Rattus norvegicus: one gene and its partner. The protein of the gene in region 1 binds, or shares a complex with, the protein of each later gene. Links are inferred from orthologs where the notes say so. Each region holds a gene or a part of one and is shown on either strand. Other genes may lie near its edges. The genes, in order: Lzts1 and Asb7.

Evidence for each region.
Region 2: the proteins of Lzts1 (region 1) and Asb7 are in contact, whole or in part, in a crystal structure (PDB 8Y1U), measured with the Homo sapiens proteins. The link is inferred for Rattus norvegicus from reciprocal best matches to the Homo sapiens genes LZTS1 and ASB7. Residues at the interface, in NP_001349813.1 of Homo sapiens: Arg346, Glu348, Leu349, Leu352, Met353, Glu355, Gln356, Leu358, Leu359, Glu360, Lys362, Leu363, Arg364, Ser365, Tyr366; in NP_937886.1 of Homo sapiens: Asn46, Trp48, Ala56, Ile79, Phe82, Tyr87, Met90, His91, Asp116, Trp118, Val123, His126, Tyr127, Ser147, Lys149, Thr151, Gln155, Leu156, Ile159, Arg160, Phe182, Arg185, Tyr186, Ile189, Lys190, Arg210, Leu220, Leu223.

Annotation. Positions count from the first base shown.
Region 1 is NC_086034.1:25,353,408-25,365,732, forward strand, and holds the end of Lzts1 (leucine zipper putative tumor suppressor 1), read left to right. Parts: intron 1-904; 5' UTR 905-1,032; coding exon 1,033-1,377; intron 1,378-3,456; coding exon 3,457-4,254; intron 4,255-8,029; coding exon 8,030-8,692; 3' UTR 8,693-11,535; downstream 11,536-12,325. UniProt on the Homo sapiens protein: Involved in the regulation of cell growth. May stabilize the active CDC2-cyclin B1 complex and thereby contribute to the regulation of the cell cycle and the prevention of uncontrolled cell proliferation. May act as a tumor suppressor.
Region 2 is NC_086019.1:129,664,298-129,676,622, reverse strand, and holds part of Asb7 (ankyrin repeat and SOCS box protein 7), read left to right. Parts: intron 1-675; exon of another isoform or gene 676-765; intron 766-6,321; 5' UTR 6,322-6,439; intron 6,440-7,383; exon of another isoform or gene 7,384-7,507; intron 7,508-8,843; 5' UTR 8,844-8,894; coding exon 8,895-9,105; intron 9,106-12,325. UniProt on the Homo sapiens protein: Probable substrate-recognition component of a SCF-like ECS (Elongin-Cullin-SOCS-box protein) E3 ubiquitin-protein ligase complex which mediates the ubiquitination and subsequent proteasomal degradation of target proteins.

The DNA of each region.
Region 1 (12,325 bases):
GCCACAGTACCAGGCCTATAATGATGAGGTTTCTTCACCCCTCCAGTAGAGGGCACCTTCTTACGAGGTGCTTTTGTGCCAGTTCTTTCCTGGTTGCCTTACCACCAGTGGATTTGCGGGCAGTCTGCTCTGTATGAGCCATGGTATGAGCACCTCCTTACTTACCCCCCTTCCTCGACTGGAGTTCAACAAGTGAGAGGCGGCACTGGCATTAACGAGCGGCGGCAGTGCAGCAAAGGCTGCGAACACAACTGAAGACAGATTCTTACTATGATGAGGCCTAGGTTCTTCCCACATCTTTAATTTGACACACAGGTTAGGCCTGAACTCTCCATTCTCCTGTCTCTACCTTTCAAGTGCTGGGATTAATAGTTCTGTGCTATCACGCCTGGAGTTCCTTTCCCTTACAGAGCCACTAATGTCATCTTTAGGCCCCCAGCATCAAGATTTCACCTAATCCCAGGGAGTTCAAATCACATTCCCAAATACCACAACCATGTGGCATTGGAGATTGAGTTTCTAATATTTAAATACTGAGGGGTGCATCTAAACTCTGGCACTTCCTGGGTATACAAAACTGTGTCCTCCCTTCTCAAGCTCTCCCCTTAAGCATCCTGACCCCTTAACATGGGTTAAATGGGTCCTGTAGAATAGGTTTGGGCTGTCTATCCATATAACACTACAAATGAGTCCCACAATCATATGTAATATCCCGGTTTCCACTGTATGCACAGTACATGTGCCTAGGTCATCAGAATGATAATAGACTCATAGAAGAGGCAGGGCTAGCATTTGACGTACACCTCGTTACCACCCAGGTTTCATGACAGGCATAGCACTCCTGAAATCATCACAGTGACAGTGCCATGCCTAGATCTATGACTCTCTCTGTGTCTCTTCCCAGGTCCATGGCTCTCTCGGGCTCTGAGAAGCTTTTGCTCTGACCACAGTCCCCTGGCTGAGCCAGGACTACATTTCGCTGCTGTCTCCAGGCCCCTCTTGTGCCCTGCAGGCCCTTGGTTCCTCGTCACCATGGGCAGTGTGAGCAGCCTTATCTCAGGCCACAGTCTCCACAGCAAGCACTGTCGTGCTTCCCAGTACAAACTGCGCAAATCCTCCCACCTCAAGAAGCTCAACCGGTACTCAGATGGGCTTCTGAGGTTTGGCTTCTCCCAGGACTCGGGCCGTGGCAAGTCCAGCTCCAAAATGGGGAAAAGCGAAGACTTCTTCTACATCAAAGTCAGCCAGAAGGCCCGAGGCTCCCATCGCCCAGACTACACAGCACTGTCCAGTGGGGACATGGGGGGCCAGACTGGAGTAGATTTTGATCCAGCCACTCCACCAAAGCTCATGCCCTTCTCCAGTCAACTGGAAATGGTGAGGCTCTTGACAAAGGTACTTGGGTAGAAAAGGGGAGGGGAGTTACAACAGGAGGAGAGGCAGTAGGGTTGAATACCCTGATGCCCAAGTGTCTTGATCTCCAAGAGGCCTGATCAGCACTGGTGAGAGCAGAAGTATTTGACCTCACTGCAGCAGTCAAAAGTCTATCCCTAAACCGGAAATCTTAGGTTTATCCTGCAGCAAAGGGCAGAGGGGAAGTTCAAGCCTTTCTGAGCTCTACTGGGACATAACAGGCATGGTTCAGGTAGGCCAAAGGCCAGCAAGTTCACAGGCCATGGAGGAAGAGAGGCTCTGTTTTCGCCTGGAAGACTGGACAGGAAGATGAGGGTGCTCTCTGGGAGCCTTGCGGAAGTACGCATTTTCCCGTGCCCTACCTGTGGTTTCTAGTCCCCTTGGCTAGAGAAGGGTTCCAGGGTTTCGTTCCTATGAAATGAGGAAGGATGCCCACAAAGGATGCTCCCAGTGTTCAGAAATCTAGCTCCTCCAACAGTTCAGGGCTCTGAAGCCTCGCTGCTACTGCACGTTGGAAACAGTTCTCCCATTCAGTCTCCATGCTCACTCCGGGGCAAAGTCAATGGCTTTAAAGCACAGGTTAAACACCACTTACCGGAAATGCTTGGGAACGGGAGTGCCAGAGGTCTCAGAGTTGTTGTCTTTTAGATTATAAAATATTTGCACAGGCATAATGAGATCTCTAATAACAACAATCATTTATGCTTTGTGTATACCTGACTCACAAAGGCAGACAATGATTATACAATGTTTTAAATAATTTATGCACAAAACAAAATCCTCTAATATGTGGATTTTTCCACTCTTAGCATCTTGTCTGGACTCAAACACTTGCGGATTCTGCAGAGTTTCAGATCTGAGATTTTTAGGACCAGGAATGCTCAACCTAGAATAAGAAAGGTGCCTGTGTTTGTGCAAAGTTCTCTAAACAAAGGCCTTGTGAAGGCACGGTTGTCTACTGAGGGAAATTGCAAGTTTCGGGGTTGCTATTCCAAATCGTCTGAACTAGAAGCAGTTAGCGGTTTATAGCCTTGACCTAGGCTCAGTAGAAGAGGCAGAGTGCAAGAAAGTGATGAGCATATACAGTCTGCTGTCCTTGCTGCACTGTACCTGAGTCCCCATCTAACCTCCCTAGAGGGCTGGGTCCAGATGGCAGTGATGGTTACTAACACAGTGCCTCGGCCACCACTGAAGGCTTTCTTAGGTACAGAGGGTGTGTGTGTGTGTGTGTGTGTGTGTGTGTGTGTGTGTGTGTGTGTGTGTGTATTTGAGACAGGGTCTCACTACGTAGCCCTGGCTTCCTGGAACTCATGATATAGACCAAGGTGGCATGGAACTCACAGAAATCTACCTACCTCTGCCTCTCAAGTTACATGCCCGTAAGGGGGTGTGCCATTATGTCCAGCCTTAAGAGTTTTGTCACTGTCACCATCATCTCCTCCTCCTCTTCCTCCTCCCCCTCCTCCTCCTCCTTCTTCTTAAAACGATTTGTTTACTTTTATTTTATGAGTGTTTTGCCTGCATGTATGCGTGTGTGCCAGAAGAGTGTGTCAGATCCCCTGGAACGGGAGTTACAAAATGGTTGTGTGCCACCACGTGAGTGTGGAGAATAACACCTCGGTCCTCTGGGAGAGCAGCTAGTACTCTGCACCACTGCCTCCAGCTCCCTCACAGCCTTTCGAAGAATGGCGTAGTGAGGTCGGTGAAACGGCTCAGCAGTCGAGGGCTTGCCGCCAAGCAGGAAAGACGGGCGACCTGACTCCACATGGTGGAAGGAGAGGACTCCTGTAAGTTGTTCTCATCCCCATGTGTATTCTGTGGCATGTGTATACACACACATGTATATACACCCATACTCACATGTACACAGAAACTTGGTCTATTCTCAGCCAGTCCAGAGCAACTGACAAGGTTTGCTATCAACCAAGAAGGGTTTCACTCGGGCTCCATGCTCAGGTAGGCTCGTGAGAGTGCACCCACAGTGAGAAAAGTGGGTGGGTGTGGAAGAGACGCTCAAATCTGTGTGGTCCTTTGCTTCCCCAGAGTTCAGACAAGGCGGCGGTGAGGCCCACTGCCTTCAAGCCTGTGTTGCCACGGTCAGGAGCCATTCTCCACTCTTCACCTGAGAGTACCAACCACCAGCTTCATCCCATGCCTCCAGATAAGCCCAAGGAACAGGAGCTGAAGCCAGGCCTGTGCTCAGGGGCACTGTCTGACTCGGGCCGGAACTCCATGTCTAGCCTGCCCACGCATAGCACCACCAGCAGCTACCAGCTGGATCCTCTGGTCACCCCCGTGGGGCCTACTAGCCGTTTTGGGGGTTCAGCTCACAACATCACACAAGGCATCATCCTTCAGGACAGTAATATGATGAGCCTGAAGGCTCTGTCATTCTCTGATGGGGGCAGCAAGCTGGCTCACCCAGGCAAGGTAGAAAAGGGCTCCTCCTGTGTGCGTTCCCCACTCTCCACGGATGAGTGCACCATTCAGGAGCTGGAGCAGAAGCTGCTGCAGCGGGAGACTGCACTACAGAAGCTACAGCGCAGTTTCGATGAGAAGGAGTTTGCCTCTGGCCAGACCTTCGAGGAGCGGCCACGGCGGACTAGAGACGAACTGGAGTGCCTGGAACCTAAGAGCAAGCTGAAGCCAGCCTCCCAGAAGAGCCAGCGCACCCAGCAGGTACTCCAGCTGCAGGTGTTACAGTTGCAGCAGGAGAAACGGCAGCTGAGGCAGGAGCTAGAGAGCCTAATGAAGGAGCAGGACCTGCTGGAGACCAAGCTGAGGTCCTACGAGCGGGAGAAAACCAACTTCGCCCCTGCACTGGAGGAGACCCAATGGGAGGTAAGACCCCACTAGTCCGACCCAATGGGAGGTAAAGTCCCGCCACCCTGCCACGGCTTTACTGATATCCTCCCCATCCTTGCTGGCAAGGCAGTATCAACACGAAGTGCCTCAGGCCAATGCCGCTAGAGAGACAGCTTTATGACCAAGGAAGAGAATGCTGAGTGGATAGTGTGGGGATGCTCTGAGTCAGATCTGTGTTTCTTGCTCATTCCATCATCTCATCATCTCATGGCCCTCAGTAGCCCCGTCTTTGGTAGGAAAGCCAAACCCAGACAAGGGAGGCTCAGCCAGGCTGCCTAAGGGCTGACCTCACTTATGAGAAACGCCTGTGTTTGTCTGATCTGAGGACCTGGGAGAAGGATTAGGCCTATTTGATGCTTTGGGGGAAAGAGTCCTAACTATATCATTAGTGGTAGGTCTCAGTGATGGAATTGCCCTTCCTTGCTGAGGCATAAGTGGAAATTCTACTTGGTTGGCTGAGATTTAAACACAGGGGAGGAAGAAAAAGGACAAACACACAGTCATTCTTTGGGGACAGGTTTTATTGTTTTGTTTTGTTTGGTACTAGGGGTTAGGCCTAGGACCTCCCATGTTCTAGAAAAGCACGCCATCGCTGATGTATTTCCTTCAGTCACTTTGGAATGAGTCATGTGAGTCTGGCCTAGCTGGAGAGCAGTCAGGGTCTCATATGTACCCTGCTAGTAGGACAGCAGCCTTTTTTCCCTGAGTAGCATGCGTGTGCACACACACACACACACACACACACACACACACACACTCACACTCCCATGGCCCAGGTATGTGTTCATTAGTGCTGCTGTCATTCACTCCAGAGACTTCTCCGTAGGGAAAGATGACAATCGTTCTATTTATATCGATTAGCATCAGGTCTGGATGGCATTTGGCTTACTGTGAGCACCACAGCCCTGACTGCTCAGAGCTTCCTGTCCTCACCCTGTGCCATGACAAGTAGTCACAAGACAGGTGAAGAAAAGAACCTTTGTGTATTTCAGAGACAAGTAGTGAGTGTTGGCTTTTGTCGTTCATCCTCATGGCCCTGTCTGAAACTAAGCCACGGACTGCCATGATCTTGTTCCCACCTTGGCTAATCAGTATACTTAGCAAAACAACAATAAGGAAAGAGTTATACATCCTCACAGAAATATTGTTATAAACCCGTTTAGCTTAGAGACTTTAGAAAATGCTATGTTCTTCTATCTAATCCTTATAACCATATTGAGACGTAGGAGTGTTACAGTTTTTCAATTCATCTTTTTTTTTTTATCTTTTTTTTTTTTTATTAACTTGAGTATTTCTTATATACATTTCGAGTGTTATTCCCTTTCCCAGTTTCCGGGCAAACATCCCCCTCCCCCCTCCCCTTTCTTATCGGTGTTCCCCTCCCCACCCTCCCCCCATTGTCCCCCTCCCCCCAACAGTCTAGTTCACTGGGGGTTCAGTCTTAGCAGGACCCAGGGCTTCCCCTTCCACTGGTGCTCTTACTAGGATATTCATTGCTACCTATGAGGTCAGAGTCCAGGGTCAGTCCATGTATAGTCTTTAGGTAGTGGCTTAGTCCCTGGAAGCTCTGGTTGCTTGGCATTGTTGTACATATGGGGTCTCGAGCCCCTTCAAGCTCTTCCAGTTCTTTCTCTGATTCCTTCAACGGGGGTCCTATTCTCAGTTCAGTGGTTTGCTGCTGGTATTCGCCTCTGTATTTGCTGTATTCTGGCTGTGTCTCTCAGGAGCGATCTACATCCGGCTCCTGTCGTCTTTAAAGAAACTGACACACGGATTATCTGTGGTCGCTGGTGAAGTGACTTGGCTAGCATCTGATAAACGATAGATTCTAAGAGTCAACTGCAAGCACATGGATCAGGCGTTCACATTGTTATTATTTATTGGGGGAGGGGGCATATGCTTGCTACAGCCCAAATGTGGAGGTCAGAGGTCAACGTTACAAAGTTGGTTCTTACTTTCCACCACGTGGGTCTCAGGGATAGAATTCATCAGGGTTGGAGACAAATATGTTTGTCTCACGAGCCATTTTACCATCCCCATCCCAGAGTTCACATTTGTAACTGCTTGCTGTCTCCATGTCAATGTGTGCCTGTGTTGCTTGGTTCATAAGCGATTCGATCTGGATTCAAAGCCTGTGCTTTAATGTGACTCTGTCCTAACTCCCTCTATCAAACTAATGTAGGCTTGGTGTGTTACTCAAGTTGTCTTTGTTTGGTCGTTGTAACAAAATGCACAAGATATGCAGTTTACAGCAAGAGCTTATTCTGCCTCACAAAATTAGAGGGTTCACTTCATGATCAAATTGTCTAACAGACCCTGCTGCTTTGGGCCTGTGATGAAGTAACATATCACATGGGAGCATGTGGCCATGCAAGTGTCACCTCATGGCCAGGAAGCAAGGTGAAAACAAATAAGGGTCCAGAGTCTGACAGTCCCCTTCAAGAGCCATTGACCTAAACACTTTCTACCATGCCTAACGTCTTAGAGGTTCCACTACCCCTCACTCTCAGGGTTAACACACTGAAAAACTTTAACATCTGCGCTTTGAGAGACATTCAAGGTCTGTACTTGGCCGTGTCAAAAAGTTCTGGGCTCTAGCTATGCATGGTGGTGAGGCTAAGTGTTCTCCTCTACATTAGAAGTAAAGGGGGAACTTTACTGGGAGAGGAAATAAAGGAGAAATACAGGGTTTTATGCTAAGGGTCCATTGTGTAGTGCCAAGGCCCTGGTCTTTCCTCCTCCTCCTCCTCTTCCTCCTCCTCTTCCTCTTCCTCCTCCTCTTCTTCCTCTTCCTTTCCTCCTCTTCCTCTTCCTCCTCCTCTTCCTCTTCTTCCTCTTCTTCCTCTTCCTCCTCCTCCTCTTCCTCCTCCTCTTCTTCCTCCTCCTCCTTCCTCCTCCTCTTCCTCTTCTTCCTCTTCCTCCTCCTCTTCTTCCTCCTCCTCCTTCCTCCTCCTCTCCTCCTCCTCTTCCTCTTCTTCCTCTTCCTCCTCCTCCTCTCTTTTGATTTATGGTGGGGATCAAACCCAAGGCTTCATGCATATACTAAGCGTGTACTTTTTAAAAAAACTTTTTCTTTTATGCTTTCTTTCTTTTTTAGTCAGAAGTGGGAGGAAGTACCTGAGACAGCCTTGATATGGATAGGCTGGCGTGTACTGCCACTCCTAACCATATCATGACCCCAACTAATGCTTATGACCTCAAAGTACCAAGGCCCCAGAGACACGGTGATCTGACTCAAATGTGCTCTTGGCCCAACTTTGATGGCCAATGGGTGTTCAAATGGCGGAGAAGCCAGAAAGGGAGGAAGACTGCAGTTCATTGTTTGGCAGATGGATACAGGACATGTGTGGGCCAGGTTGTATGGCTAGCTTTGGGGGTATAGCAGGACAAGGTGAAATGGTCCTTCCCCCAGAGATGAATGCAGTGGTGAGGATTGGGTGTTGGCTCCCTGAAGCCAGTATCCCTGGTGTTAAAGGTAGGTGATAGAGCTCGGAGCATTGGCTAGAGTAAGCAGGTGATTGTTGAGTTGCATATAACCTTGGGTATGAGCACAGACTGGAGTGTAGAACCTGAACTGGAGATGAGGTAGACACTTGGAAATGCATAGATTGTTTACATGCAAAAGAACTGTTTGAGGTGTCTTGTCAGGAGTAGCCTGAACCCTTTAGGAAGTGGTGATGTCATCTCAGTTAGGATAATGCCAATCACTTCTGGCACTGATTCTCACCCTTTCTCACCCCACCCTTGGCAGGTGTGCCAGAAGTCAGGTGAGATCTCTCTTCTGAAGCAACAGCTCAAAGAATCCCAAATGGAGGTGAATGCTAAGGCCAGTGAGATCCTTAGCCTGAAGGCACAGCTGAAGGACACCCGGGGCAAGCTTGAGGGAATGGAGTTGAAGACACAGGACTTGGAGAGCGCCTTGCGCACCAAGGGGCTAGAGCTGGAGGTCTGTGAGAATGAACTGCAGCGCAAGAAGAATGAGGCAGAGCTGCTGAGAGAGAAGGTGAACCTTTTAGAACAGGAGCTGCTGGAGCTGCGGGCCCAGGCGGCCCTGCATCGAGATGCAGCACCCCTGGGCCCTCCAGGGATTGGGCTGACTTTCTCAGAGGACATCCCTGCTCTGCAGCGGGAGCTGGATCGGCTGCGGGCTGAGCTGAAGGAGGAGAGGCAAGGCCATGACCAGATGTCCTCGGGATTCCAGCATGAGCGGTTGGTGTGGAAGGAAGAGAAGGAGAAAGTGATCCAGTACCAAAAGCAGCTGCAACAGAGCTACTTGGCCATGTACCAGCGCAACCAGCGTCTAGAGAAGGCCCTGCAGCAGCTGGCCCGTGGGGATATTGCAGGGGAGCCCTTTGAAATTGACCTGGAGGGAGCTGACATTCCCTATGAGGATATCATAGCCACTGAGATCTGAGGGGCTACCTCGGGGATGGAGGGCTGGGGACTAGACCCCAGAAAGCAGGGAGGACTGAGCCTGTCCCAAGAGCCCCTCTGAGAGAAGCCACCTCTGGGATCCAGATTCAGGAGTCCCCAGTGGTGGGTAGGGGTTACCACATAGCCTTTCCTCCCCTCCTGCCTTTCTCAGCCTAACTAACCCTGCTGCTTATAAGACCTTGATCTGCGAACCCCAAGCTCTCCTAGAGGTATGCTCAGGGAGCTTTATGTGCTGGTTGAGGTTTCTCTTGACTTTGGTCTCATTCAAAGTAGTGAGAAAGACACCCCATCAGGAAAGGGGGCAACTGCCATACAGGCCAAATGGCCACCCAAGGACAGAAACATTTTCCCTGTTGTCCCTAAACCCCCACCATCCCCTGGGCATCTTGGGATGCCTTTGGGAATAGAAAGAAGCCATGTGTAACCAGAAGCCTTGGACCTCGTCTTCACTACAGCCTGTTCTGCTCTGACTGTGGTGGTGGAGGGGTTGTGTCGCCACGTAGTTGAGCCAGCAAGTCATGGGAGGAAGGGGTAGATGGACAGTCCGCCATTACGGAACCTTTGCAGGTCTCAAGAGGTCCGGTGGGAGTTGAAAGGAGAGAACCAAGGCAGATGGGGAGTGGAGTCTAAAATGAGCTGCATAGCCCCTTTGACCTCAGTGGTCACTCTGTTTAAAGCCATAGACATTGGGGGTCCCAGGTGGGGTACAGGGAACTGACATGAGACATAGATTCTCAGCTGTGCCAGGGGATCCTCCTCAGCCTCCAATATTGAATGTTTTTTCTTTCCAGAACACTAGACGCTGGCTCAGATCCAAAATAGCCCATCCACTTAGATAGTGTGCATGGGAGCTGGACATTAGCCTCCCTTGTCTGTGGCCCAAGTCAGCAGCTTCTCTTTCCCTTATAGCATTGTCAGTGTGCTGATAGGCTGCCGTCCAGGCAGGAGAGATACAGGGTGCATAAAAAGAGCCTTATAAATATCCCAAACCACCCACTTTCCTCCCTCCGTGTGGCAGCACCCCAGGCTGTAAGAATTCAGTCTAGAAAGCAGCATGTGAGCTTGTGGGAGCCTGGCCTTGTCTTTTGAAGATAGCCAGATCTAGGGGCAGAGGGAAGTGCAGTTGCTGGGTTGAAGGAATTATCTTCTCTCTCCTTCCCACTTCCATTCTGTGTTTTCCAAAGCAAGCCAGATCAAGCAGGCAGCCAAGCTGCTCCATATTCTATTTTTGGCCCTTACCACAGCTGTTGTTGGTAGGACACCCAGCCCTTGCTGGATTCCTGAGCCATGTGTTTGCCTGGTGGGCGGGACCCAGGATATTGGAGATGTAAGGGAGGGTCTGTGTGCTTGGTAGTCCAGGAACCAACCTGAGTTCTACCTCCCTAATGCTGGTCCTTAAGGTGGATCCCAGCCCTAGTGACCTTGTCTTCCCGTGGGCTTTCTTCCCTTCCTTGTATCTGCAGGCTAGGTGCCTCCCCTGTACGTGGTACTACTTTCTGTCCCTGCGGTTAGATTGGCCCTCTCCTACTACTGACTTTCAACAGCACACTATTCTCTGGTCTACCACTGCCCAGAGTCACATGCTCACTTAAATCTGGAATCTACAGGCCAAAGACGACTCCCCCAACTTGCACGGTCGTACACTCCACTGAACACAGGTCACAGCCCAGTTTAAAGAGTCCATAGCCCTCAGTTCTCAGTTGTGTACCAGTCTGTGCCTTGTCTGAGTCCTTCCCATTGAGACTGTCCAACAGACAGAAAGAAAGATGGGGGTTTCCTGCCTCTCTCTAGATTGAAGGACTCCTTCCTCTGAGAGAAGTCCAGAAGTCCAGTGCTATGCTATGGAGTCCTTGCCCAGAAGCAGACACTAGGCCTGGGCAGACCTGTGCTCTCTCTGTGCAGGGTGCCTTCTGTTCACAGGGGTTCTGCCCAGTAGTCCTGCCGAGGTCATCGTTGAGACCTCTGCCTGGGGACTGCTTACCCTTTAAGATGGCAGATGCCTTCCCAAGACTGCTGTCAGCCTGAGGTCCCAAGGTAGCTCCAAGACGCAACTGTGCTGTAACCTAATAACCTTGCCTTCGTGTGGGCTTTCTTTCCTCTCCTGTCCTAAAGCATCCTCACTGTTTGTGGCCCATGCCCATGTTGGACGGCTAGATGGAACAGTGACTGAACAGGGCCTCAGGTGTGCAGGTTCAGGGCAGACAAGTAGTCTGCCACACCTCGTCTCTCAGCTCCACACTGCTTTCCAGAGGTGTCTGGTTCCAGACTGTGGCTGCTCTCTGAAGGAAGAACGGCAGCTAGCATCACCTCAAGGAAGGGCCTTGTAGTGTCAGACTCCCACGGGGTACCTCCTTGCTCGATTTTGTCCTCTCTCGGCACACTTGAACTTTAGCATGATAACGTTTTCAGGGGATCGGCATCACTCCTCTGAGAGACACTTGCTGATCCTCTCGTCGCTGGCTCCAGCTTGGGCTGTGTCTCAGGTAAGAGAGATGTCCAAGGGAAAGCCAGGCTGGACCAGAGATTTCCCTAGGACCTGAGTTCTCCTCAGACGCCATAGAACAGGCCACAGTGCCCCTCAGTGGAGACTGCTTTCCCTCTTGAACACTGGAGCCCTCAGTAGAGGCTGGCTTCGGATGGACTGGCATTTGGAAGACCAAGTACATAGTTATTTTTCTCTTCCCTGTTTCTGGTTTGCTTTGCTCTTGATGGCTTCGTTTTGTTTTATTTTTGAAGTTCTTTGTTGGCTCCGTAAACTATTTCTGCTACTTTTATGTTTTTATTTATGAATAAAGAATGCCATTTCTCATGTCTTCACAGTCACTTTTGTCTCTTCAAGCTCTTATCTGTTCCCCTGCTATGATATGCCAGGCAACTCCTGGTGGTCTCTCCCTTTGGAACCTGAAAGCCAGTGTCCCTTTGTGCCAGCTGGGGCGTTCCTCACTTAGAAGCCTTGAGGAAGGCAGTCCTGTGACCTGCGTAACCCTGCCTTCACCAGTCTGGTGATCTTACTTGTGATGCTGTCAGCCTCTGGGCTGACCCAGAGGAAGGAGAAGGAGACCAGGTGCCAGTGACTTCAAAAGCACTCCTTCCCAGCCTCAGCCTCTCCCCTCCTCCCTCCACCAGCTGCTAGCCTCCTGGCCAGCCTTCAGCCCAGTCAGTGCATATGGCTTTTTGGCAAGGGACTAGAGTAACTATTGTTGTCACTTCTCCAGGCCCCTAGGTGAGAGTGCCATTAGCACAGCCACCATCTGTCCTGCCTGCATGGTTCTAACTTCTCCCCTCCCCCAACACACACACACTCCCCAGTTCACCTTGATGGGCATTCCCTGTTTTGAGTTCAAATCCTAAACCCCAAAATAGCCACTATGGTTACAGAAGAGAGAGGGACACACAAAGAGAATCAAAGGCCTATGGGCATAAAGCAGTGCCTCTGGTCAGTAGAAATTGCTATTAGGGAAGGTGGCCAAGATCTCTTCCTAGCCCCAACTAGGACTGTGCTTTTCATAATAGCCCTACACTCTGGATGGCTGGCCCCTCCTCTTCACTGGGGGCAGGCCCAGGGGAATTAGGCAGGAGAGCCATGCTGCCAACATTAGCATAAGCTCGAACA
Region 2 (12,325 bases), on another chromosome or scaffold:
ACCTCAATAACTTCCGTACTCCAGAAATGTCTTCTGGAACCCGGTCAGAGTGTTTCCGTGTTTTGCATTATCTTTTGGTATACTGTGTCACTTACTCTGCTCTGAGGCTTGGAGACCTTTTTGTAGTTCCTTGCCTTCCTTACTCTCATAGGAATTCTTCAATTCCATGTTAATTGCTTGTTAATTCTGAATGATGCTGCTTTTAATTAAACCACAATTTACTGGTATGTCCATGTACATTTTTTTTTTCTCTATTCCTCCATCAGGAAAGCTTCAAGAGTTACCTAACTGATAATGGCTTAGTAGCAGAAGGTGAACTGGAGGACTGAAACTAATTGGGTTTGGTTTTCCTGGAAAAAGTGACTGGGAACAGTGCAGAAACTGTATAAAAGCAATATTAGCCCCTGAAACAAAGTATATAGTTTCCTATGGGGTTTTGTGTGTGTGTGTTTGTGACAAAATGGATGGACACTGGAGTTGTTATAAAGTGATACATAGTATTTGCTATGTCTCTGGTGTTCTAGGTGAACTTATAAAAATGTACAATGTATCGCCTTGACAATAGTGGCACAGTCAGGAATTTTAGAACAAAGTATTGCTTGGGTATGTTTAGCTATCTGCTGCTTGGTTTTTGGCAGTGGTCATTCTTGTTTTCTCATTTTAAAACCCTTACAGAGAATTTACTAGATTGAAATGTAAGCACCTAGGTCATGTGCTCAGATTTCTGCTGCCTATTTTGTTGCTGCCTCCGAAAATGCCCTAAAGGTAAGTTTAGAACATTAATATGAAGAGAACATGTATACAAATAAACGAGAGGGAGAGATTATAAAGGACAACCGAGAGACTGCCTAACGGGCAAATCTATAACGTTTGTTATCACATAAAATGTTACTAATTTATTTTAGTATCTCAAATGGTTTTTGGAACTTTAGTACAAAGAATATTCAAAATGGTAGGCTTTTTATTCCTTTATATTTCCTGTCTTTTGCATGTTTGTACACACACACACACACACACACACACACACACACACACACACACATACACACACAAGTCCCTTTGATTCTACTGGTCCTTAAGACATAAAGATAATTTTTAAGGGGCTCTGAGGGCTTGCACATTTTTAAGACTTGAAACTACACACCAAAGAAGGAGTATGCTATGAATGGAACTTTAAAATAGTACGTATTAGCTCTTCTTTCTTCTTCTTTTTTAAATTTCTGGTGCTTTAAGACAGGGTTTCTCTGTGTACAGAAACTCTTTGTAGACCAGGATAGCCTTGAACTCAGATCTGCCTGCCTCTGCCTCCTCAGTGCTGGGATCAAAGGCCTGCGCCACTATGCCTTACTGTATGTAATTGCTATACTTTCTAGCCTGAGGAATGGGGACCCTGAGGCAGGAAGATGGAGAATTTGAAGCCAACCTGGGCTGGCTACAGAGGAAGACACAGTTTTAAAAAACAAAATGAAAAGAAAAGAAAAAAACTCCTAATATTCACCAGTGACAGTACTATGGAGGAAAAAAAATATATATATATATAATTTTATATATCAAGGCAAAATCTCAAGTTGAAGAGTGGTTGTTATTATTTAAATACAGAACTCAGGGCTAGAGAGGTGACTCAGTGGTTAAATATGGAACTCAGCAATATGATGCCTTCTGGTTACTGTATAACTTTTTAAAAATTGGTAATAAAATATTTGGATTGTATTTCAGAGATAGAATGCAGTATATATCTTGTATCTTCTTGGTGGGGTAGAGAGTATTTTTCTGCTTTAGAGTGAACCTAATTTGCTAGTGTTCCTAAGTGAGGGCTCTTTTTACCTGAGGTTGTAAATGAGGATCGCTAGTCAGACTTGTAAAGACAGAACATTGCTCTGTCTTGGTTCCCAGCCAGGTTATTGTTGCCGTTTAAGTCAGAGTACATGGATCTGCTCAGCTGACAGCGGGTTTCCTAAGATAGCGAGAGATGTATGCCCACCCCCCACCCCCCCACCCCCAGAGAGAGGCGGAGTGGGGAAGTTGTAATAATTAACATAGTTGAGAATGTTATTTAACATTTAACGTTTTCTTTAGTTTTTACATTTACTTAATCAGGACCAGCTCAATAGTTTGTATTTCTATATCTGGGAGGGCGTTTACCTGATTATTTAGTAACCAAAACCAAATTCATATCACAAAGGGAGAATAATTGGTGCTAGTCAGTGCTAGCTAGGTCTTTAGTATATTATGACTACTTCTGTCCTTTATACTGAAAATGATGTGTGATTCAGTTAGTTATATGTGTACATTGTATATAAGCTAAATATATAATGTCTTATTTTGTTCCTGTGTGTTTATACACGTGCACAGACTTGAGTATGTATGTGCAGTCTTTAGTGTGTCAACATCTAGCCTTAGTAATACCATTCTTGAGATGGGTAAATAGAGTCAGATACAGTTTGCCTATCTGAAACCTGACCTTCTGTCTTTTCATTTTCACCTCAATACATTCCCTCAATGTAATGTTCTTGGAAACTTCTGAGGCACTAGTCTGAGGCTGCTAACTTTGACTTGGCATGCCTGCGTTAACAGGACATTATTGACAAAGCTTTTCTAATACCTGTGGTTTAAGCTTGGAGTTGGGGCTACATAAATGATTCTAAACTTTTCTTGGTCACTTCACCTCACCTCAACTCATCTCACCTCATCCACATTTTGGGAAAATCACTAGGTTTTCTGCTAGAATTTATGTGATTCATAGTTTTACATGATAATAAATTTTTGTGTCACATAGAGGTCCAGTCATTTGGAGGAAATATGATATCCTTCCTTAGGGACATGGACACTATGGTATGTTGGGTGATACTAAAATAATACCCTCCTTATTTAGGGTGTAAGGCTCTTGATTGTGTAAGTGGAGCCCAGCAGGCCTGTTGGCCATGTTATATATTGTGATTGGGCACTGTATTTTTCTGTATCTGGGTTCGCTCTGGGGGCTTGTGAGCCATTGGTAAATTTTTAGTTTTTTTTTTTTCTTCGGAGGAAATGTCTTCAAAGTTGCGATTTTCTTTTCCTTTCCTGGTCTCCTCTGCAAACAAATGCTCTTGTCTTGAGCCAGGAATCGTTTCCTTGTTTCTTGTGGAACCGTTACCTTGTTTCTTGTGGAACCGTTACCTTTTTTCTTGTTGGTTTGAGACCAGGAAACAATTCTCCTTTGTGTTACTTGGGAAAAGTTGCAGAATTAGGCAGCAAGCCTGCAATCTTAACACTTGGGAGGCTGAGGCAGGAGGATCTCTGGTTGCCCGCCAGTTTGCACTGCTTCAAAGGCCCAACGAAACAAAACCTACAGGGAAGAAAATAATATACAGAAGTCAATAATAGCTAGTCTTGTGCTAAAGGAAATTGAAAAGAGGTCAGACTTGTTGAAGGTTATGTATTCTTGGGCAAATTTTAAGCATACCTTCATTTATGGGTACCTTCAGTCTATTATCTCAATATAGTTTTTTTTTAAACTATATTAAGGAAATTTGGGGCATAACTGAATAGATTTCATTTGAAAAGAAATTAGGCAATGCTATCCAATGTGGTCAAGTGTATTTTGGAGACCTTGGTTGTTATCTTTTGACTTTAGTACAGTGGAGAAAATAATTTGGCAAAATGTAAGCATTGTATTAAGAACTAAGACCACTTAAGAAAACGAGACACATTTGGGAAATGAGTCATTTTTACACCTCTAAAGTCTTCCATCTTTGTTTATTATTTACTTTTTTTCTGACTAAAACCCAGAATGTAATTTCTAGTGGGTCTGGTATCAGTAATTGCTAGATTCTCCACCCATCATTAATTTAAGAGAACTTTCCATCGATTGTGTATTGTTTAGGACATTTCTCCTTTGTCAAGAGTCCTGGTTTTTGAACTTGCATTCCCTGCAGGAAACCAGGCTCTTTCTTTCCCATCAGTGGCTTTTCTTGTTTTTTTCTTAATAGGTATCTTGGCTGCTGAGGTTGTGTTTGTCCTTAAGGACCATGGTGCCTTTTTTCCTCTTTATTTTATATGTCTCTAAGTGACACCAAGAGGAAAGTCACTTCTAGTCTGATACCTTGGACTTTGGGGCATTTTAATCATTGCCCTGTATAATTTACAATGGTGCAGACAACAGAGATTAAGTGTATAGGGCATACACATGTGTGTTTCCTCAATGATGCTGTTGTAGCACATGCATGCAAGGAGTGACTGTGCACTTAAAAAAAATCTATGATTATCTATAAGTCCTTGGTATTATCAGAAGAGGAAAAAAAATCCTAAAATATCTCATATCCTTAAAAGTGTCATTTTTAAGAAGCTGTCAGAGAAATGTCTTTCTCTTGCAGAGGACCTAGTTCAGTTCTCAGCACCCACAGGGTTACACACAACTGTCTGTAACTCCAGTACCAGAGGATCCGAAACCTTCTTCTGGTGTCCTCTAGCACCACACTCATGTGTGCACCTACTTAAAATGTAGGCACTCAGATATAAACAAAATTTTTTTTTAAAAAATTAGAAATATTTTTAAATGTTATTTTAAATGTACAAGACTGTCTTCTAGGAAGCTGTGAGCTGTGCTGCGCACACATTAGGCACTTAGGGGCTATCTCCTTGTTCTATTAAAGTCACTTACGGGGGAACTGTTACATTATTACCTTTCTTGCATTGGAGAATTAATTTGATCCTTTTATCTCTTAACACACTGCCTAGTACAAGTATTAGTACATACTGTTTCATGCTTCCTTCAGTCCCACCTCTCGTGTCTCCTCTCTGTCATGCCCAGCAGTCTCTGTGGAAGTGGTGATAGGCATTTGGAGACCACTGGAAGTCTGCAAGGACTCTTAATGGCTTGAAGCCACATTGGGACATTTTCATGACCCTAGGGAGGCAGAGAATACTGAAGACACACTTAGAAGTAAGGTGTTTGATTTGGTTTTCATTTTTAGAAACTAAATTTGTTTTTGACAACTTCATACCTGTATATTTTGTCTTCTGTTTAACTCTTACTGCCCTCCCTGCTCCTGCCTGCCAGGTTCTTCCCCACAATGGTTTTACCCAGGATGGTCTGTGTGACCCCAGCCAGGAACCTGGTGGGCTTAGTGCTGGGTACCACATGATGCTGTTTACTCTTGCATGTAGACGCATGCCATTATGGAGAGAAGTGATCAGTGGTCTCTGGTCCTTGAGAGCTCTGAAGTTGGCTCCTTTGTGCCTGTGGCTGTGGCTTTCTTTGAGCACTTCCTTGCCTTCAGGCACTATAAGATGCTCCAGGTTCATGCTGTAGACTTCCTGCCTCAGTCTTAGTTTCTGCAAGGTTTCTTCTGTGGTATTTATACTTGGCTTTGAAGGAGTTGTTCTGACCGTGTCTACTCCATTTATTTGAAAATAATAGGCACAGTTTGCACTCAGACTTCAGTTCTGTGTGCAGGCCAACATCTTTGCCTATCTTAAAGGCTTCAGAAAGGGGAAAATAAAACATCAAGTGCAGAAAAGGCAGATGGGAACCATTCTAATGTCCCCTTGCACAGCCATCAGCCCCTGTTGCCCCTCTTGCCCTGCACAGGTCAGCTCATCAGATGGCCTGTCCATTTCCATGTCTGAACCTTTAACTTCTAAAGGCTCGGCCCCCCACCTCCAGAAAGGGTGTCGGATCTCCCAGTAGGTTAATTGCTAGAGTGATTTCCTTGTGATATTGTGGGGTTTTTATTGTTTTGTTCTTTAAGAATTCAGTAGAGAAGGTAGTAAAACCTCTGGCTAGTTAATGTTTTAACTAGCTTGTTGTGTGTAAGTAAATGTTTTTACTGGGTGCCTGGAAGGCATAGGAAGAGCCACCATTCAAAGGCATAAGCCCCATTTACTCACCTACTTTACACTTGGCCCCTGGCAGCTGCTGTGTTGAATGCACACATTTTTTTCCCCTTTTAGTTCTCTTTAAAAAGAGCAGGTGACTGATGGTATCCTTAAAAAGTAAAGGAAGCAGGCCTGAGAGATATTCTCAGCAGAAAAGACAAGATTCTTAGCTTGTAGCCAAATTCCAAATGTGGGATTTGTTATTTTCTTTATTTACTGTTTTTTAAGAAGCTTGGGGTGGGGGCAGCACAGACTCTTAAATAAATCATACTTGATTGTGTCTAGAGATTGTTGTAAGCAACAAGATCATGTGCTCCAAAACCTTCTCTGAGTTCTTCTGTCAGTTTGTTGTAAACTCCTGAAACATAAAGTCATCAGAAAGTATAATCAGAGAGTAGACTGCAGACAGCGGTGCTTTCTCTCTTACTTTAGGAAAGCCCATGATTGTGATTGGTTTGTTTGTAGGTGAAGAAGACTACTCCCCTGAGGCCGGGGTACACTGGGAACCCTTCCTACCATGCTGCATGCACGCCATGGTTATTAGACAACCTGTCCACCGAGAGAAGAGACATTCTTCTATAAGGTAAGATGACCCAGGATCATCAGCCTCCTAGGCTATTTTGAGGAAAATCCTGTTTAACTTTTATTTTTCTTCTTGAAATCTGTTAATGAGTTGGTTGGGGCTATAGCTTAGTAATAGAGTGCATTTAGCAGGCTTCAGGCTCTGAGTTCAGTCCCTAGTCTAATAGAATAGACTTGCACAGAAAAGAATGGGCAAAATAGTGATTTAAAGAATAAACTAATGTAGCAGGCACTGAAAGAAAAACCTAGGTTTCTTTTGATGTTGTTTCAGTCTTTTTCCTATAGAGGAGACCTCTCTAGGTGCCAAGATAATTTTCTATTAAACACACCTGTGGGGCCTGGGAAAGGCTTAGTGGGTAAAGTGCTTTAGCACAGGCATGAAGATTGAGTTTAGATCCCCATCTACTCAGGGAAAAGTCAGGAATGAAAACTTCCATGGGATTCCATGGGATATACACTTGTCACCCCAGCACCAGAGTGCAGTGACAAGGAGGATCATAACGGCTTATCTAGCCTGTCTAGCAGAAATGGTAAAGCCGAGGTTCAGTGAGGGACTCTCTCTAAAAGAGTAAGGGAGAGCTATAGAGGAGGGCGCCTTAGTGTATCTCCACACTTACACTATCCACAGAACTCACTCTGAGCCAACATGGCGACATGTACCTGTGACTCAACACTTGGTAGCTAGAGATGGGAGGATCAAGAGCTCAAGGCCAACCTAGGCTACATAGGAAGTTGGGAGGCCAGGCAGAGCTAAATAAGACTGACTCAAAAAGAATAGTAAAATAAATCAGAGCTTCAGAAGCGTTCTGCTAAAGATGATGGTCTGAGTGGACAGGAAGGGGTTCCATTAATGTGTGCTGGTAAGTTTTGTTATAGTCTCTTATAGCACTGAAACTAACATGAAACCCATTCTGAAAGGTATTTTTTTTATGTTAAATTTCTAAGCCAAGAGACTGAATTTCAAGGAAGTAATTAAGTGAAGAATCAAAAGGAAACTTGCTTATTAAGAGAACAAATTATCAAGAAATTTCTCATTTTCCAATTTTCTCTGAGGAAACAGCTATTTGAGGTAATAGCTTGATATTTTTAAATTATATCACTGGGCGATATCGCTGAGACTATAGTGATGTCATTATTATATGTAAAAGCACATCAGATGTTTGTGTTCCCAGCCTGTTTTGGCTCCACCAAGCTAGGCTTACTTTTCTTGTGTTCTCTAGTTCATGATGAGAAATTTTGTAAGAAAAAGTATTAGTTGCAAAATTATCCTTGGATGTCTAACCTACATATGAGAACAGAATATCTTCAAAGGACTTTATCACTTTTTTTTTCTTTCAAGCAAATTTACTTATAGAAATGGAGGTTACCAACCAGGAGATTCGTCTAATTGCTTCTGACAAAGCAGCCCATTTGGAATGTCTTCCTAAGATCTTGTCAGTCTGGCTTTCTCTGTCTATCTCAAATGCTTCAAAGTATGCAGACAGGCTTGTACCCCCACATGAGAAGTAGCCATGTTACTTTGGGCTTCCCTGTGTGCATGGACAAGCTTCTTGTCTGCTGGGTTTGAGGACACACTTCTCCATGACCTGCAGAAGATGTGGGGTCCTTAGCATTAGTGTTCATTGACGTAATTTCATCATGTGGTCAATCCACAGGTTGCTTAGCATGCTATTTTGAGTATTTATGAAATAAAACTTCTGGTACTGAAATTAGAAAAAAATGTTTTAAAAGAATATGACAGGGAAGAGAAGACAAACATCGTGATCAGGTAGCCGAGGTAGGAAAACTGAGAAACACACGCACATGTGTGAATATAATCTATTTTATCCAGTTCCTTCGCTCAGCTGCTACCCCCCAGGCTTTATTACCTTGTATTAAAAATAAGATGCTGATGTGGATTGGGTCAGAGACTTGGCCTAGAGACAGCCCCTCCTTTTCAGTTCCTCCTCCAGGCTTTAATGGGCTGTTTTTTGCTATTCCATATTTATTGACTCAGACTGTGATAAAATCCTTGAGTAGTTTGTAACTTCCGTCGGGGTGGTGCATCGTGTAAGTCAGACTTCCTAAGACTGGTCCTACTGCAGCCATCTTAGCGTCCTGAGACCACCGTCCACTTTACCAGGAGAGAGCTGTCGTGACCAATGGAGTTTCAAGTTTTCAAAAAGACTGCAGAAAAGATTTTTCTGTTAAGTGGGTGTTTTCTGCCCCGCTTTCTCTTTCAATTAATTTATAGCCTTAATGCAGCTATGGGAAATTTAGGTCTAAGCAGATGCCTGCTAGCCAGTCTTGTTGAGCTGCTCTCCATGTCTATACTGATTTAGGGAGCGAATAGTTGTGTGGTGGTCAGTGAGCACAGTGTGAAGAGAGACAGATTCTAAATTGCATGTGCTCTCCCTTCCCGAAAGGCTGCCTCCCGTGACCTAATGTCTGGTTGGTGAAAAGCAGACTCTGCTAGGATGTTACACCACCACTGCCGGAGGAACCCTGAGCTCCAGGAAGAATTGCAGATTCAGGCTGCAGTGGCGGCCGGGGATGTTCACACAGTACGAAAGATGTTGGAACAAGGCTATTCCCCAAATGGCCGAGATGCCAATGGCTGGACCTTGCTCCATTTCTCTGCAGCAAGAGGAAAGGAGAGGTGTGTTCGAGTGTTTCTGGAACACGGAGGTGAGTTCACTGGATGCGAGGAGAAAATTGTAATGGCGTTTGTGGAAAACGCACTTGTGCACGTTTGTTTGCACGTGGATTTTAATGGTTCGCTTGCATTGCTGTTCAGTGTCTTATCTGCTCCTCTTTGCAAAGATGTTTGACAACAAAACACTAAGTTTTTTGAGTTGTTGAGTGGGTTTTACTCTGGCACATGTAGTTTCTGCAGATTGTCAGGCAACCCCAGGTTACTTCAACTGAGAGCCCTTATTGGGGCCAGTTGCCCTTGGGTGTCAGAAGCAGAAGTAGTTGTGGTGTCTGCCGTGGGGGAGCTGCCCAGGTTTCCCTTTTTGGAAATTGCTTAAGCAGAGGAGCCTAGCATAGGTCCCTTTAAACATTTTTGACTTTTCCTATCCTTCATACCTTCCTTAACCTTTCCTTCTTACTTCCTTTTCTTCTTGTTGTTCTTTTGGATATCCTGACTTTTCTAGAACTTACAGTGTGTCTACATATGCAAAAAGGCTGCTCTTATCTGAGCTCTGATTCTGTAGACAGACTTGGTTGGTGACCGCATTTGCCATTTTATGTGTCTGCTTCAGAAAACTAGACATTTCTATAAGACTTTGACACTAATCTTCTCAATTGACTCCTCTCGCCAGTGAATTTCAATTTCATTCTTGCCCTGAAGATGGGAGGGGGATTGTGCGTGTTCCTATGAGGTGTGTGTGTGTGTGTGTGTGTGTGTGTGTAGATATCACTTCTGTCTACATTGTAGTAGGGTGTAGAACAGCTTGTCTGGGCCACTCTAGGCCCTGGATTGCTCATCAGCAGTTATTTGTTTCATTCTAGGAGTGTACTTTGCTACAAGACTTGCTTGCCTTCTAAAGTACAGAAGGCGTTAGCAGTTCCACAGCCCTCAGAAAGGCTGTGTGAGTTATGGGACTGTATGAATGCTAAGGCTACCATCAGAGTCTGACTCCAAGATAAGGCTAAATCCAAGCCCAAGAGTAATCATGTGTCCCAGTGGCCTCAAATAGGACTAATGTGCCCTAAGACATTAGCTATAGACAGAGTCCAGACACATGAGTATTATCACCTTAAAACAAAGCACATCTTTAGATAAGTTTCCGACCGACATCAAATCCCATTGGACCTGCACAGGTCTTGCCTGCCCCTACTCAGAATGGTCCCTGGGCCTGAGTGACCCTGGGTGCTTAGTCCTCTGGATACTTCTAGCACACTTGTAGAAATTGTGCTTCATGTAGTTTTTAGTCTACATATGACACAACTGTTCTGCCACAGCTGTTTTTCACTCAACTTTATGACGTATTTTTGTCCTATCAGTTGTAGTGTGTGAGCAGTCATAGAAAACATGTCACAGCTGTGGCTATGCTCCAGTCTGACGTCTATGTATATGTTAGTGAGTGATAAGGGAGAGGGACAGTCCACGGCAGGGTCACAGTTGACTTACGGGCTACAGGTCCTAAGCAGCGCTCTCTCCCCCACCCCGTGATGATCATTTACATCCTAAAGGGCAGAAGGCGGCTGTGTGGCAGACTGTGTATCTAGCCTGCGTGAAGCCTAAGGTTCAAGCCTTAAAACTTTTAAGAAAAGTGTGTGCGTGCCTGTGTGTGTGTGTGTGTGTGTGTGCGTGTGTGTGTGTGTCTGTATGTCTATGTGTGTGTGTATGTGTGTGTGTGTGTCTGTGTGTGTGTGTGTGTGTGTGTGTGTGTGTGTATGCGTACATGCACTCAGTGAACTCTGCCATTCCTGAGTCCACACTGCACAATTTCGTGCATTTGTAGAGTTGGGTGCCCAGTCCCACAGTTAGTATCTAAAGTAATCGTTACTACTACAGAAAGCAACCTCAGTGAGTTTTGTTAGAAATACGTTCAGTCTTACCCTGTTATCTTCAGTAGAGTAGCTGCTCAAATAAATATGTTACCATTTGGATATTCTTTCAACTTTGTTCATTTTAGTATTTTAGAAAGCATAAAATTTTCTCAGCAGACTTTTGAGAAGGTGGTTCATAATCTACCTGCTTAAAACCCAGAGTAAATATTCTATTGTCAGTGCCTGGAGGTGGCCACTAGCTGTTCTTCAGTACCAGATTCTCCTTCCAGAAACTGGCTTTTGTTGACTTTTGTGCACCGAGGCCTAAGTGGTTTCTAGCCCTTCTTTCTAGCCGGCCCACTACTCTGTTTAATGTTATGTCAGTGTCCTGACTTCTGTCACCTAACAGCTTCCTTGAGATAATTCCTTATCAGGACATAGTTAAGCCTGAGATTCTACTTGTTGGGTGCAATTGATTTGCACTTAGCTTCCATTGTGAGGCATTTGAAATTGTTGGCATTTTTTTGCTAGGGCCAGTATAGCAGGGAGAGTCCTTGACTGGTCTTTCTTAAAAAAAAAAAAAAAAAAGCAACAACAAAAGCCCACCCTTGTCAGAGTTTCTCCCTTAACCCCTAGAAGCACTGCCAAGTCAGACCGCACTTATGGATGCCTATACATTGTCCTCCAAGACCTACAGTTCCTTCTTGTGCCCTCCTGGGACTGGGTGGGACAATGCCCCCCCCCTTCTCAGCAGGGTATTGCTAGCTGGCTGGCTCGTCCTTGTGTGATGTGCTTGCCCCTCCCAAGATGACATCCGAATATCAAACTGTGGCAAGTCTGAGCCTGTCCTTGTCTTCCTCCCTTGTTCAGGTGAGGCTTGCTCCGGTGCCTACCTTTGTTAGCTCCGGGTGGAAACCTTTCTTCTAGCTTGTAGCGTTCCCACGTTCCTCCTATTGCTCTCACCATACACTGGACACATTCTATCTTGCTTTTGCCTTCTGGTTTGTGTCTGTTGGATCTCGGTTAGTAAACACTTCATGGTGTAGGGTCATTACTCACCTGCATCTTCTTCTCAAGATTTTGTGGTACTTGAATCATCGGTCTGTCCAGAATTGGTGTTCGTGCATGAGAATGTACAATATCATTGCTCTTCCCCACAAAGGTTGCCCAAACTTCCCTTCTTTCCTCATGGCTGGGCACTGCTGGGTCACATACACAGCTTTTACATTGTGCTTCCACCTCCGAGTTCTCATTCAGTGCTGCAGGACCAGTGTGGTGCTGTTTGTGTTGTTCTGTGAGAACATTACCCTACTGAAACGAGATTCGGAGAATGCGCCTCCTCATCCCTCTCACGGCAAATTGTAAAGCAAGTTTGGAAAGGTTAAGTAAGAAGGAAACTCCTGCCATG